2 linked regions of the Lonchura striata genome follow. The protein of the gene in region 2 purifies or fractionates together with the protein of the main gene of each other region. This does not show direct contact. Links are inferred from orthologs where the notes say so. Each region holds a gene or a part of one and is shown on either strand. Other genes may lie near its edges.

Region 1 (8,076 bases), on a different chromosome or scaffold from region 2:
ATCTCAAATTATCAGCCGAGTTCATTCTAATGACACTACGAAGTCACAATACTGCAGATCTTTAGAATAAAGGCACTTACAATTGATTTTTCTAGGAATCAAGGCTAAAAAGCATAAACCAGACTCTTCTACCCGAATTCAGGCCAAGGGAAAGCCTAGCAGCACTAGAACTTCTGTCTGTGAGTTTCTGGCACAGCATTTCTCCCTCTGCATGCCTTATTGTTGCAACAACCCTTTCGAACAGTAACTTTCACACTTGATTTACTTTATTTGATCAAAGTATCATTAGAGCTGGTTACTCACTTCAAAGGCCTGTCATCCTGAGATGCATGAGTTTTGGGAGCCTCTGGTCCAATCAAACTATCAGCTTCAGTATTTTCTGCAACAATCAAATAATGAGGAAGATTAATCTTGTATCCATTATTCTTTGTTATCAGAAAGGTTATACAGGTCAGCAACACCTAACAACAAATTCACAAAAAGGACATCAAGAAGTTTCCATCCAAGTTTAAAGTCAGGTGAACTTACTTGATCTCTCTATCCAGAGATCATCCCCTTGAAGCATTTCATCATCGGAATCTTCGCTACTTGAATCACTGGATTCCCTCCTGCTCTTCTTAGATTTCTTTTTCTTATACTTCTTCCTGTGGTAAAGCCAGACAGACATGCTATTTATCAAAATTTAAGATTAAAGAAGGTGCTTGGAATCATACTCAAATAATTAGTTTCTCAAGGCAACTTCCACCTATAGGAAGAATGCTGTCCGCTGTTTCATACAAAACACTTTACACCAAAGCCAAGACAATATATATGTTCTATTTTAACTTTCATAGAGTGTTAGAAAGTGGCTATACAGAAAGTTGTTTATGCTGCACAATTGTGTAGATTTAAATAAAAACTATCAAAATAATATTATTTGCCAGCTCTTGCAAATGACCTAAGGTCCTCAGGCTCCCTGAGGGCCTGCAAAGAAAACTGAGCTGCCCTCCAGGCAACAGCAGCCAAAATGATACAGCAACCACAACACTTACTTTTTGTTCTTCTTTTTCTTCTTCTTGCTTTTCTTTTTATCTTCATCTGAAAAAAGAAAGTGTATGTATTATCAAAAATAAATTATTAATTATAACTAAGTAGTTTACTGCCCTGTGAATAACACGGCATACCTTTTACATCCCCAGTATTCACAGAGCTGTAGGCTCTTTGACTCTCTCAACTCTAGCCCTAAGCCTAACCCCATCACCAGGGGTGGTGGTCAAGATCAGAAAGATGTAGGAGCAGCACAGTTGGGGCTTTGCTGGGATCACCTTGGAATGCCTTTTCCAGTCCCAATGTTCCTGTGACTCGCTCAACCCTAACCCTAAGCCCTAGCCCTAACCCAAACTCAATAATATGGGTTTTCCAGGTCAGAATGATGTAGGAAAAGCAATGTTGGGGCCTTGCTGGGATTGCCTTGGCATGCTTTTTCCAGTCTCAGTACTCCTGGAGCTATAGGCTCTTTCACTCTCTCAGCCCTAAGCTTAACCACTCCCCTAACCCTACTGCTAAGAATTATACTAACCACTACCCCTACCAATTAACCAAACCACTACCCTAAACCTGAGCCTATTCCCAGCACTAACTGCCTCCTCCAGCATGCCCTAGTACACATCCTGATGGGACTTGTTTATACTGGGAAAGTGTTAGGAGAAAGGTCCCTGCAGTACTGGTCGATATGAGAACATATCAAAGAGATCTCTGGCATGAGAGGCCCAGTGGATGCTAAATTCAGAAATCCAATTTCCTGAGGCTACACTGCAAGCTGAGACCCTCTTGTCTTACCACTGGAGTTCTGTTCAGACTCTGAGTCACTGTCGCTGTCCTCAGAATGTTTCCTGCGCTTTCTTTTGGATGCTTTACGTTTTTTCTTTTGTTTTTGCTTCTTCTTTTTCTTCTTTTCCTCTGGAATGTTTTTAAACATAACATTAGAGAACAAAGAACACTTGGTTCCATATGTATTCCCTGATCTTCCCAAAGCAATGCTCTCCTTTGGGCTGGAGCCCACCCCAACCACTCCCACCCATCTAAGCCAGGGAACCTCCTGCAAGCAGCAGCAGATTCTAAGCCACAGTAGCTTCCCATTTTTGAAAAAGCTGTGCAAGCCAGACAAAATACCTTCTGAGCTGGAATCCGAAGAACTACTCTTAGATTTTGCCTCTTCATCTTCTACTGGCGTGTGCTCATCGGAACTGAATAAAATAACAGTTTGCTACTTAAAATCTGTTTTGTTGTACTCAAGATCAAAGGTATACAAATGATCAAAGACATTTTGAATCAATCCCTGCAAAGGAGTAAAATATCAAAGATATTATAAAAATAATTTAGCCTGGGAACTGCTGTCAGAACCACAACACAACAATCACCTGATCTACAATAAATAATGTATTGCATAATTGGTATGTTGGAATTATTTGGTTGAAAAAATAGCAATCTCATTATGCTGCTTCAGAAAGGAAGTGACACAGTAAGTACTGTGGCACCAAGACTAATGCAGGGATAAAGAATTTTTATAAACTGAACTGATATGTAATTAATATTATAAAAAACATGAAGAAAGACTATGCCTTACTCTGGGTCAGGAACTTTTGGTGACAGCCCCCAGACTTCAGGCGCCCCCAGTTCTCCAATTCTCTCTCTCTCATTGAGTCTCCTGTAAAGGAAAACACTGACACTGACGCCTAGTTTGCAACACCCAGCACACAAACATTTTAAGTCTTACGCGTTAGTGTTTCCGAAGCAGCTACAGGAAGGGTAAGAAACAACTCGGAGCAAGGAGCAGGGGCAGGGGCAGTCAGGCAGCAGAGCTCCGCACACCGCAGAGGCTCGGCGGTAGCAGCTGTCACCCCGTTCCAGCCGAGCTCCGTCCCGGCTGCCCCGGGGAACGCACGGGGAGCCCGTGAGGGACCGTACAGAACCGGGCCCGGCCGCGGCACCCGCCCCTCCCGCGCGGAGCGGGGCCCGGCGGGGCAGCCCCGGCCCCTCGCCGGCGCTCACCTCTGCCGCAGGATCTCCTCCTTCTCCTTCTCGTAGTACTCGGGCCATTTGCCGTGGTGGTGGTGCCCGTGGTGCGCGGAAGAGCGCGGCGCGCCGGGGCTGCGGGACCGGCTGCGGCTCCGCCGGTGGCTCGGGCGCCTGGGGCCATTGCGCTCGCGGGAGCGGGAGCGCGAGCGGCGGCCGCGGCGCTCGGAGCCGGCGGCGGGCGGGGAGCGGGAGCGGGACGCGGGCGCCATGGCGGAAGCGGAGGCGCTTCCGGCGCTTCCGGTGCCCTCCCGGCCGGGCGGGAGCGGGGCGGGAGCGGGGCGGGAGCGGGGCGGCCCCGCCCGCGGGGTCACCGCCCCACCCGCCCGGCCGGCAACGCGGCGGCGGCGGCGGCGGCGGCGGCTCCTTTTGTGCCCCGCGGCGGCCGCCCGGCAGCGATGGACGCGCGCACGGCGGCCGAAGGTGAGGCGCGGACGGGGCGCGGGGCGCGGGCGGGGGGCGGTGGCGGCCCGGGCCCGGCTCCGCCCCGCTCCGCGGGCACCGGCGCGGGGCCGCGGCCCCGGGAGCTGTCCAGGGCGGCCCGGGAGCAGCACTGCCCCGCGGACAGCTCAGCGTGCCCCGGCGGGGCTCCCGTTCGTGGCCGGGCCCGGCGCCGCCTGGCACGGCCCGGCCCGGGCGAGGCCCGGCCCCGTGTTCGGGGCCGGCACCTCCCCGCGGCCTGACACGGCGCTGCCGGTGCGGCCGCTCAGGGCAGAACTGACAGCACGGGGGAAACGGCCCCAGCTTGCGTCGGGGCAGCTTTAGGGTGCGTATTAGGATTTTTATTTTCATGGGAAAGGTTATCAAGCACAGGAATAAGCTGCACAGCGAAGTGGTGCAGTCACTGTCCCCGGAAATATTAAAAAACCATGTGGAGATGGCACTTACGGACATGGTGTAATGGTGAACGTGGTGCTGGCGCTGGGTTCAGGTTGGACTTGATGATCTTAAGTCTTTCCCAGCCTTAACCTTTATCCATAAAGATGATACAAATTATATATTCAGATAAGACATCCACTCTTCTGTGAGCGCCCTTCCCCCTCAGGTTTGACCACGTTACCACGGAGCTTTCTTAAATAAACCCCGAGTTTCTGCTCAGCTCTGGAAATGCAGTGCGATATCGCTGGGTCTGGCCAGCTCCGTGTAAACGGGGCATTTTGGACAGCTGCTACACCCTGGGAAGCCCATGCTGGTTTATGCTGTCTAGAAATTATGTCAGGGTATGCCAGTCTCTTTTTCACAAATGGAGCAGTATTTTAGCTCCTAAACCTACCATAAACAGCATTTAAAAAACCCTGTAAGATGGAGGAAGCCTATTTAAACTGTGTATTTATTTGGGTACACGGAACCATGTGCAGTAGAGGGAGGGAAAAGATTTACCAGAAATTCCCACTACTGTCACCTGTGTCTGTGTGAGGACAGCGTATATTCTCCCTTCTTTTGATTATTTCGGCAAACTAATTTTGGATTATTTTAGATCTGATTAAATGATGCCTAAAACATCTGCCTCAGGAGCAATCTGCACTTGTGTTACCTAATACCATTAGGTGACTTGAAGTGCTTTTGTAAACAAGTCATAATGTCATGCGGTACATAACAGCATCTACAACAACTACTAATGTCAATAAAAAGATTACTGGACTCTTAATTCAGATATATGAAGCTTTATATAATGGGATTGGCAGGAGAAATAGTCTCAGAGATTCCTTCAAGGCATAAACAGTGAAAATTTGTATTTTAGAGTCTTTCAGAAGCAGTGATTTTTTATTTGAATTCCCACAGTGAAGAATATTTCTGTCCTTAAAGGTACTCTTAGGTAGGATAACTATTGAATTTCAATTTTTATTGAAAACCCTTAACTGTTCTGCTTATAAAATTTAATTTACTTTAATGTAAAATACTTGTTTTCATGAAGGAGAATGTTACTTTGTCTTTCAAATTTGTCAGTTCTTTAAAAGAATTTTCTATTCTCGCAAAGTGGATTTTTTAAAAACAAAAAAGCTTCTCAAGTTGCTTAATTGAAAACTCGTTACTGAATTACATACTGTTTTGTCGTCTTGTAAAGGCCTGCACATAAATTTCTTTAAATTTGTACTTCATATTTTCAGAGCCTCCACCCCAAAGTTTTTTTGATCACTTCTATACATTAAGATAAAAGTTGCTATTGGGTCTCTTACATTTTCAGTTCCAAGACAACCACATGTAGTTCTATATCCTGGATGTTTCTTATCTTAGATAAAATGGTTCTTTTATATTGTTATTGATATTGTAAGGCTTTATGTGACTTGAACCATCAAACACTTTCGACGCTTATCTGAACATAAAAGTGGAAAGAACAACCCCTAAAATAGGAGATGCATGCTGACAAAAAAAAATGCACACCGAAATTCAGCTTTTAGGTGCAGCAAGATGGTGGCAGCTTCAGTCAAATTGGCTGAGCTGGGGAGAGCATTAACTCTGTCCTGACTGCAGCAGTGTGACCGTGGGGTTCAGATTTTTTATCTGACAGAAGGACTTGCCATAGAGAAAAGCTGCTGTGAGAAAGGTAAAAGTCAAGGAGATGGTGCAGCTCTCCCAGCAGCTTTTAAATCAGGCAGCATTTCAGTGCCTAAGAATAAGTGGTTTAAACCTGATTTTTGAGATCTGGTGATGCCTTAGGAGCAGGAATCCTTCCAAGTGCTCATCTGTGGCTGTAAATTTTCCTGCTAGCTATTTAGTATTGGATGAGGTATTGAGAATAGAAATCCTTAAAGCTGGAGGATGCAAGGCTAAAAAATTGTTTAATTTGGGCCATCACACATTTTTGGAGGAGAAAAAAAGCACTGGATTAAGTATTTAAACAATTATAGTATTATTTTCATTTAATATAGCCTCATGGGTAAAAATTACGAAGAACCTCTATCAAAGGAGAAAAGAATTGAAGGATCATGTGAGGAAGAAAAGCCTATGTTTTTCCTGATGAGTGTTTTCTAATATTTATCCTCATGCAATTGACTCTCTAGTAAAACCTATAAATAAACAGAAACTGGTTTTGTAACATTTAAAATCTGAAGCCTCAATTCAGAAAGGCATTTGTGTTACTAGCTATACAGATACAAGGAGCCTGGCAGGTGATTTTCTTGCTAGAAGAAAGATTATTCTTGCTAGAAGAAATTGTTATTTGTTTCTTGTTCATAAACCTGGCAGGACCATTTCATTGCTGATTTACAAGGTGAAGGATTGCAGTCATGTCTGCCAGTGACTGTGGCCTGTTACGTTTGTCATCGAACTTGACAGGACATTCGTTCTTGTCAAAGTTTTTAAATCTTAAGGAAAATCAGGAGCCCCTGTGGTTCAAGTCCACAGAATGCATAGAGGGGAAAAAAAAGGAACAGACGAGTAACCACAGATAAAAAGTATCTTTTATGATCTCGGTGTTCTTCGAGCATTCCTGAACAGCAACAGCTTCCCAGAGGCCGTGCTGTGGATGTGTCACTCCAGTGGCCACACGGCTAATGTGCCGAGAGTCGCATTTGGTCAAAGGCACTCTGTGCCAAAGCCGTACATGTCCGTGCGGCTGCTGGCAGAGTCTAACACGTGTGCCTGTGGCGCAAAGAATTCCAAAGAAATGCTCCCGCAGCAGCAGCAAGGGTGCTCAGGTGTGGGTTTGAGCTCCGCTCGGTGCTGGGCGGAGGTGCCGGCTGCGTCAGCGTTGGCAGAGCAGCGCCAATGGCCCCGGGAAGGAAACGAGACCCAGCGGCAAACAGCGTCCGCACGGCCTCATCCCGCGCTCGGCCGTGAGGCAGCGCCGGGGCTCGCTGCCGCCTCCGCCCGGGAACGGAGCGCGGGGAGCCGGCCGGGAGCTGCCAGGGCCGCAGCAGGGCCGGCCTGCGCCGAGGCAGGGTCAGGGCCTCGCTCCTCGGGGCGCGACGCGGGCGGTGTGTCCGAGCCGCGGCCCCGGGGCCGCCGGCGGCGCGGGGCGGGGCGGGGCGGCGCGGCGGGAGCGGCCCGGCCCCGCCCCGGCGAAGGTTCCCGAGGCCGCTCGGGTCAGAGCCGAGGGCAGCGCCGGCAGCGCCCCCCGGCGGCGGCGCGGCGCGGCGGGCGCGGGGCCGGAGCGCGGCGCAGGTAACGCGGGGAGCGCGGGCTCGGCGGCTCGGCTGCCCTCCCGCCCGGCCGGGGGCTCGGCACGGCTCCGCCGGCGGCGGCGGCGGCGGGGCCGCCCGCCAGCCCGGGCCCGGTGCTGCCAGGCCGCTCCCGGGCCCGCCGCTGTCAGCGCGCCGCTCCCGCTCGGCCTCCGGCCGCGGACCGGCCGCTGCTGCCTCGGCGGCCCCGCCCGCAGCGCGGTTCTCACGGCCGGGCCCGGGGTCGGGGGGAGCCGGCCAGGACGCGCCCCCGGGCTGGGACTCATCCGGCCGCGACTCCGGCCGCGGCGTCTCATCCGGCCCGGCCCGGCCCGGCCCGGCCTGGCCTGCGGAAATAAGTTTTACGGGTAAAATTAGAGCCCGTGACTCGCTGTACTGCATTTGGATGTTGCTTTTTTCCGGTTATTGGGGGGCTTTGAATGGGCAGTGCTGACGGATAGGTTACTTTGACTTAGCAGGTCTGCTTCGCTACGGTGCTGCTTCCGAGTCTCGGTTTGAAATACAAAGCCTTGCAAATATGTGACATGGGGTTAAAAAAAGTTTATTTTTCTGGGGAAGTAAGTGCACTATCCATAGCGTTTTCATTAACTCAGTTGATTGGTAATACGTCGACACACAGATTCTGGTGTCTGGCCATAAATAACTTCATGATATTTGGCTTTCTCATAACAACCTATGGAATATTTCACAATTAAAAATAAATTACTAATAATGTTTAAAGCTGTTTTTGGGACCCAAAACTTACATTTTCTTGGTTTTATAATTAAACTTACTTGCTGTTGCTTAAGAGGAGGTGTTGTTTCTCTTTTCCTCACCTTGTAAGAACCTTGGTAAGAACAGAGGATATATTCAGAATTCCACGTAACCTTATGGAGAAGAGGAAAGGACAAACAACAATAGG
Region 2 (7,857 bases):
ACTCTTTGTCCTTTGCTCACAACATCAGCAACATTGGCAACCCGTCCTTCTCTTCGCAGCTCTGAGATGTGCACCAAGCCTTCCCAGCGCTTCCTAGGAGTGAAACAGAGGGGCATGAGAGGGGCACACTACTGCTCTGACAGCCCTTCAGATCACTCAGAAACTACATTAAAATATGTTGCTGTCAACAGATTGTGTATGTCCACAAACTAGTTTTAGTAACAAGAATTTTCTAATTCTCTACTGTTAAACTCACTTTCCTGAAACAGCCCTTCAAAGCCCAGAACAACTGCTGGTAGCTTCATCACATCTTTAAGGTACCAGCAGAAAAGAGACCTGAGCTGAAACAGATCTGCAGTAAACAGCCAAGGGTACCTTAGTCCTTCCAGCTGCACAAAGCACCCGAACTGCATTATGCTTGTGACTTTGCCGTTGTAGATGTCCCCGATGGACGGCTCCTCAGCCGGTGGCCGGTCTATGTGCTTGTCTCTCCACCTCTCATGGCTCTTTTCAAGGTACTTCTCCCGATCCCTGCGGTCCTTACTGGGACTCCAACTTCTGCTCCTCGACCGGTACCTGGATTTTCCCCTGTTCCTGTCCCAAGTCCTGGAACGGGACCTGGAGCGAGATCTGTGCCTTCGTTTCCTGTCCCTGCTACGACTTCGGCTCCTCTTCCTTTTCTTCGCCCTAACAAACCAAATTTAGATCTCTGCAGTGGATTTCACCTCAGGCAAGGAGAGCAGCCAAGACCTTCCCCCTTCCCCAAGACTCCTACCGATGGTCGCTGTCCCTCTGCTTGTCCTGCCTGTCAGCACTGGGCATCAGAGCTTCCAGTTCTTTCAGGGCATCAGCTGCCACTTTCACATCATCTTCATCCAGCATATTCTGCAAGAACAAAAAACTGATGCTCCTTTCTGCAAAAGGGCTGATAAAAAGATTGTCACAAAGAATTAATCTACAGAATTATCATCATATGTGTACCTATTTAGAAAGAATGCAAGATAAAAAAAGATCAGACTCAATATGTGATAAAGAAAGAAAATAATAAAGCACTCTCCCTGTATGGCCAAAATATTGAGACAATTCTGCTTTTATACAATAGAAAGTTCCATCTCAATGCCTCAGATTGTTACAGAAATACAAAATGCAAGTCCCTCATAGCATCTGAATATACAACATTTTTAATTAGTTTGCAACACATCATTACTTTGAACATTATGTAAGGAAGGCCAGGCTACAAATTTCATGCCACAAGAGTCTCATCCTCCACATATTTTGCAAAACAGTATGAACATGGCAATTGCTAACACCTATTCTTTGCAACAATGTGCAGTAACACCAGCCTTCTACCTCTTCCGTATTTTATTTCTCAAAGTTCACATTTATTCATGCATTAGACAGAGAAAAAAGGTTGAAACTGACTGGGGGAAAAAAAAAAAAAGTTTTCACACAGTCACAAAAGAAATCTGAAATTACAACCTTACCCTGATGTTGGGATTGTCTGGCCTGCAAAGGGCTGGATACAATTCCCTCAACTTTTCTTTCTCGGATTTGGGTTTGACAACTGCCTCTAATTTTGAGATTCAAAAAGAAGAAAAAAAAAAGCACAATGAAACACAAAACTCAGAACTGCTACAACAATTCACTCTTCGTTTTTCTGTAATTGAATATAAAGTTTAATTTTTGTCTGAACGCAAAGGCTGATACAGCTTTTACAGAGATTCAATTCAAGGAATACCGTGTTGCCTTCCTTCAGAGAAAATTCTGATTATTAGTGAATATTTGAAAGACTGACCACTCTGAGCAGCACCCTCAGAATAACAGCAGCAGCAAGCATGGTGCAAGAGGATTTGCCTTACAAGACTACAGCAGGAGCTGCACCAGTCTCACCCCACCTACCTTTGCTCGTGGATGGTTTTGGTGGAGGCCGCATCGTCTGGATGAGACGGAGCAAGTTACTGATGAGGGAATCCTGAAAAAAAATCAGTAAAATACTTCAGGAAATGACTGCAACACTTTCATTATTACAAGGCACGAGTGGGGGTTTATTCGCAGAACAAAATATGCTCAATTCTGAAGATGCAGGTTGATTTTTAGAAACTATCACTGGGCTTTGTGTATGCCCTAAAAAGGCGTAAGTTGAACTCAAGTCACTTAGATGAAATTATCCTAATTGTCTTTTTCTGTTAATAATTTTAATCAACTATTCAATCCAAGCACAATTATTCCTGAGACATCAATAAATACAGCATATAAGCATCCTAAGAAGACTTATGATATCTGCCTTCATGAAAAGTTGTTTCTTCCGTATTTTATATGCTCAACACAACAATAAGCAGCTTGAGTCCTCAGGAAGAGGCTTTTCAAAGACTACAAAATTTTTTAAAAATACGAGGAAGGGGAAGGCAGAGGAGACAGGAATATCAGAAGCTATTTAGTATGCAGTTTTCCAATTGAAGAAAACCAATAGTAACTGCTCATAACTCTCTTTAAATCGGAAAGCTCTATAAAATATGGCACAACAAGAATAACACATAAACAAGGTTCAGGCGCCACTTACAGTGAACTCAGCACCATTCTTCAGAAGAATTGCTTTAAATGTGTCAAACGTGGTATTTTTCTCGGCAAGACTTATGACAAACTCGGCTGTGAGGAAAAAGCACAAAGTAAACTGAAGCAAGAACGTAAAAAAGCAGAGTAAGGACTGCACGTGTGGCAGAAGCCGCTCTGGAGGTGCGGGACCATCCGGGCCCGGGGAGCTGCTCCTCGGCTCTCCCCGGCAGCCCACATCGCAGCGTTCCCTCAGGCTCACAGGTTTTGGTTTTTTTTAAGAAAAATACTGTTTTTTAACGAAAAGCACCTTCACAAAACGCACCCGGCCGCGCGGAAAGGGCTGCTGCGGCCCTGAGCAAGCCCGCCCTGTCCGTGCGCGGAGCTCGCCGCGCCCGCCCCGCTCACCCAGGTCCTTGTCGTTGATGCCCAGGTGGTTGTCGAGCTCGGTGCAGACCTTGGACACCAGCGACAGGTACTCGAGCTTGGCGAGCTCCTCGGCCGCCGCCAGCTCCGCCATGGCCGCCGCGGCCGCTTCCGGGACGCGCCGGAAGCGGGGCCGGGACAGCGGGGCGGGGCCGGAAGCGGGGCCGGGACAGCGGGGCGGGGCCGGAAGTGGGGCCGGAAGTGGGGCCGGGACCGGGGCCGGAAGCGGGGCCGGAAGCGGGGCCGGGCCGGAAGCGGGGCCGGGACAGCGGAGCGGGCCCTGCCGGGATGATGAGACCGAGCCGTGCCGGGCCAGCGGGCGGGATTTGCTGGGCACCGAGCCTTGCTGGGCGAATCGGCGCGGCCGTGCAAAGGCTTTCCCTAAACCAAAGCGGAAAGGCGCTTCCGTCCCCAGCGAAGGCCGGCGAGCTGCGGTAGCCCGAGTGTCGCGTTCGGGGCACGCCGGGTACGGAGCAGAACGGCGGGGGGAGAGCCAGCCCGGGACTTGTGGCTCCGCTTCTGTCCCCGACCCCGCCGGGCACGGCCGAAGCCCCGGCCCGAGGAGCTGAGTGCGCCCCAGGCAGCGGCGAGGAGCGGCCGGGCTGCCGCGCCCGCCGCCCGCGGCAGGAGCTCGGCTACGAACCCCACCCCAGCGCCTGTGCTCGCCCGAAATGAGACACAGAGGTCACATCTGCTCTGTAGAATATATTATAAATTATATCATGCATCCATTAGCAAAATATACAAAGCCAACAGAAATATAGCTATCTTAAGCCTGAGCATACAGCATCTAAACTCTAGGAAAAAGGAGCCTAAAGAGAACAGCATCTCACACCTGCCACTTCAATCTGCAGTGAAGTGCTCCACTTCAAATGCTTTAGTTTTGTACTTTATAGAACATATGAACATCCCAAATACAAAGGTACACATGGCAAACGTGGGTCCTGCTGGGCCTGACAGACCCCAGCAAATATAAAACCACACTGTGCTTCAAAGTCTCATCAGCTTCTGCATTTCACCCCTGTCCGTCCTCCTCCTTGCTCTACAGCTGGCATTAGTAAAAAGATACTCAAAACAACACACCGAAGGTGGAAAGTTACAGAAGGATCTTTAACTGGTCCACAGCACATAGTTGTACTGGTGTACAGAGAGATGGGAAACACTGCAAAATACTTCTACTGTATTTCAAAATAAACATTTAAGAGTATATCTTCCACAATCTATAAAAATAGGTTTAAAACAGAAGTGGTATGATACATTTGTTTTCTTCAACTATTTCAATGGCATTTTATCTCTATGGGTACTAAAGTCTTTTTAAAAATTATTGATAACCTGGTCAGCACAATACTGACACTGTGACAAAACGGAATACTAGTTTGAAGCAGGAGCAATATAAAATACTTCAGAATCAATGGTCTCTTACTGCAGCAAGGAAAAAATGTTTACTCGAAAGTAAGAACATAGCCAACACTGTCACCTGCTGAGGGACTGAACTCTGAGGAGTTATCTGGATACCCCACTGCACAGCAGTGGCTGGTGCTCATTTATGTCATTCTTTAGAATCAAATCTCTCAGCATATTTAGAAGGAAATTCTTAGATTTCCAAATTAAATCTGGGTATCTAAAAATCTTATAAGAAAATGAATTCTACAGATGTGGCTATGGAAACACAGGACCAGCTAAAACCATCAGAGGAGACTGTACATTTGAAAGTGCTTAAGTTAATGCATTTTTCAAACTCTAATGTAAAGTTATGTGATCCCTGCTTCACCCATTCTTTCCATTCCTAAACATTTCCAAAATTTGTACTCCAGTTCAGGTCTGGGTTCCTACACATTCTTGCATTTTTTTAATGTGGTATTAACAGAGTAAAATGTTTGCACTATTGTGAAAAAAGATAATGGTCAAATTTTTTATATTTTTACTAAGAGCCTGTAAAGATTCCTAGAAAATGCTTTCCTACCCTGACACTCCATTTTTAACAAAATGTTTTATGTAGGTTATACTTCTACTATTAGGGATCTGGTGTGCACTATCATTAGAGGTTCAATTGCTGGTGGTAATTCTCCTGCTTCATTCTGCTACAAGAAGCAACAACTTTACTGGAATTCATCAGTTGAACTGCAGTTACACTTTTAGACTTTTCAAAAGTCATTTGATGATTCAAGATGGCTTTCTTTTATGAGCAACTTCTTTTTCTTAGAATAATTTTTAAGATTTAAATTTGTCACTTTACTATCAAACATTGGAAAACCAGTTACTAAATCCTCAGAAGAAACAACCTCCTAGTTGCAGGCATCTCTTGTAAATTAAGCAGGACTACATTTTAGAGCAGCATTTTACACCAGTTTCTATTCCAAAGCTAATTAAGCCGACAAATTTCCAGCTGCCTAAAATAAAAAGTATATACACAATAAAATGGGAAGTTCTCATCTGGGTACAACATTTAATTCTACATGATTACCTGGTAAAAGGATTTGATCTGAAATCAGAGATTTGAAGACTACTCATTTAACTAAGAGGTCCAAATCATAACTGAAATTCTGGTATCCATTTCAAGAGATGCCACAAGGATTGTTTGACATTTCCATGAGGGTAAAAAGAAAAAGAAGTCAAATGCTCAAAGAAAAGCTGAAGCTTTAAGTCAAACCTCCAAACAGAGCAGCTGAGGAGCAGCCTGCTACTCTCGCTATCTTTAATCAGAGTTTACTCAATGAAGAATATTCCTCTCTCCACCAGGCAGCTTTAGCACCTACTGCACCAGTCTCTGTTACTGATCTGAAGCAATTCAGTCACCACTTCAATCATGTTATTGTTGTGTTTCTTCAGCAGCTGCAGGTTTAACTGCCTGTCACAGAATCCCATCTCACACAGACTGGACAGCAGAGAGGCAGTCTGCTCTTCTGGAGCTGCAGGCTGCTGAAAACAAAAGGGAGTAAGGTTAGTTTAAAAAGTTAATTTATTTTTTGCCATTTGAACTAGCAGCCCTGCATTATACTAGAATCAAACTGAGGCACAGAGGCTCTTCTGGCCCCATTTAAGCTATTTATAATCCCTTTCACTGCTCACTTATGAAAGTGAGGTATTACTCTTACATAATGCTACAAGAGGCATGCTTTCATCCCTAGGGCAAGGATTTCCCAGTCTGCTGAGAGAAGCAAACCTCAAAGAGACACCATCAAACTTAACATTTTACTCTTACATTAACTCCAATATAGAATATTGATACACTTAAAAAACATACACCTGTAAATTGAAGGTTATCATTCTATGGTACTCACACAGCACACAGAAAGACATTCACCTGTTCAATAATGGGTGGTCCAGCAAATAATGCTTTGTAGGCAGAAGCAGCAACTGACAAAGCTCCTTTCACGAGTTCTCCTGCAATGCTGCTGCCTTGAGGGTACCTGTGAGGAGACCAGGTGCTGCTTTAGGGTCAGTAAAGCCAAGGGTTTGTATCAGTGAAAGGCAAATTGCTGCCTGTTGAGGCAAAGACTGTTGGAGACAACAGCCCGTGATCCAAAGGAATCAGCAGTGTTTGGGAAGTGAGCTGTGCAAGAAGCTCATTCCTTTTTCTTGACACCTCTTATTGAATTGTGGGTGTATGCTTTCCATGAAGGGACCTTTTGTAAAGAGTTCAGTGCTCTCATCTAGAAGAGAACACACCTACATAAAAGCTGTGCACTGACACATCCATTCAGGGTAGGCTAACTTCTATTTGTTTTCTATGAATACTTAAATTACTTCATATTCTACTCAACATTTTGACTTACCTCTCCAATCTCAGTATTTTAAGACTACTTTATAGCTAGCTTGTAAAATCATCATCCTAAGAATGCTGAGATTTTCTAGAAAAAAAACCCACAGAATTTTAGAAGCATTCAACTCAAGCTCTTCATTAACTTTGGCTTGCCAGTTCTGCATCCTTTTGATTTGTGCCCAAATAGAAACCAAGATCTTGTGAAAACATAGCATGTTTGCTTTAAGAAGGGAGGCCTCTCTTAAATTAGTGACTATATGAAATCTGTAGGCCAGAGCTTTTTCCTAGGTGTCTAATTAAGCTGTTCTCAGTCTAAAATAGTGTTTGTGAAGTCAGAGCTTCACCTTCATTACCTCGGGTATTCTGTGAACTTAGTGAGAAATGCAGAAGATCCTGGCCCATGAGTATCTTCACCACTGGGTTCTGGAAGAGGAAGACAAAATGTCAACATGTCCAGTTAATGACAATTAAGCTGGAGAAATGCCACACATACATAAACAGAAAAAAGTGTGTCTCAGTACAACAGTAATACTCTAAGTTTAGTTATGTAGACCAGGTATCCAGGATTCTCACTGCAGTGAAAGCAGTCAGAAGATTTTCAGAACCATATGACTGATTCATCAGTGGTGTTTAACACAAGAGGAAATGCTGTCTCAGTGACTGTAACAGCAGCTTAAATACATAGCTCATCAATTCCATAGCAAGGGATTTTTCCAGATGCCTGTATGTACTTTTGAGTATCTTCTTACCATTTCTCATAATAGATGCTCTTAACTGATCTACAAAGTCAATTATTTCTTTATTTGCAACATCCACATAGCAAAAGTTCAACACCTAGAGAAAAACTAAAATCTTTACTTGATAGATTTCTGCTCTCCTCAAAAGAAAGGAGACATCAAATTCAATACTAGGCATAAGGAATAGATGATAGCAATAGTCTGCACCATTTAAATACTGTCAATACCTTCTCTTTGTATGTGATCATGAGAAGCAGAAGAGATACGCTCTGAAGCTGGTGTGTTTGATTCTTGGAAGATAGAATTCTGAAGAGATGAAAGATTCCTGAGAACATAAGGCAAAAACATCACTACTTTTTTTCCACATGTACACACATAAAT

The links. Proteins that work in one complex are often made in the same cells at the same time.
Region 1: the proteins of DHX8 (region 2) and NKAP purify together in Homo sapiens (co-immunoprecipitation; 3 studies listed by BioGRID and IntAct, with this or other methods). This does not show direct contact. The link is inferred for Lonchura striata from reciprocal best matches to the Homo sapiens genes DHX8 and NKAP.

The regions. Positions count from the first base shown.
Region 1 is NC_134616.1:9,031,383-9,039,458, forward strand, and holds the start of NKAP (NF-kappa-B-activating protein), read right to left. Parts: upstream 3,267-8,076; coding exon 3,031-3,266; intron 2,687-3,030; coding exon 2,606-2,686; intron 2,226-2,605; coding exon 2,152-2,225; intron 1,939-2,151; coding exon 1,819-1,938; intron 1,078-1,818; coding exon 1,032-1,077; intron 645-1,031; coding exon 529-644; intron 380-528; coding exon 304-379; intron 1-303. Other genes in the region: ZBTB33 (transcriptional regulator Kaiso), read left to right, coding at 3,453-3,477. UniProt on the Homo sapiens protein: Acts as a transcriptional repressor. Plays a role as a transcriptional corepressor of the Notch-mediated signaling required for T-cell development. Also involved in the TNF and IL-1 induced NF-kappa-B activation.
Region 2 is NC_134627.1:6,042,251-6,050,107, forward strand, and holds the start of DHX8 (ATP-dependent RNA helicase DHX8), read right to left. Parts: upstream 3,118-7,857; 5' UTR 3,071-3,117; coding exon 2,959-3,070; intron 2,647-2,958; coding exon 2,561-2,646; intron 1,973-2,560; coding exon 1,900-1,972; intron 1,571-1,899; coding exon 1,485-1,570; intron 886-1,484; coding exon 776-885; intron 688-775; coding exon 376-687; intron 94-375; coding exon 1-93. Other genes in the region: NBR1 (next to BRCA1 gene 1 protein), read right to left, coding at 5,722-5,895, 6,281-6,386, 7,093-7,162, 7,704-7,801.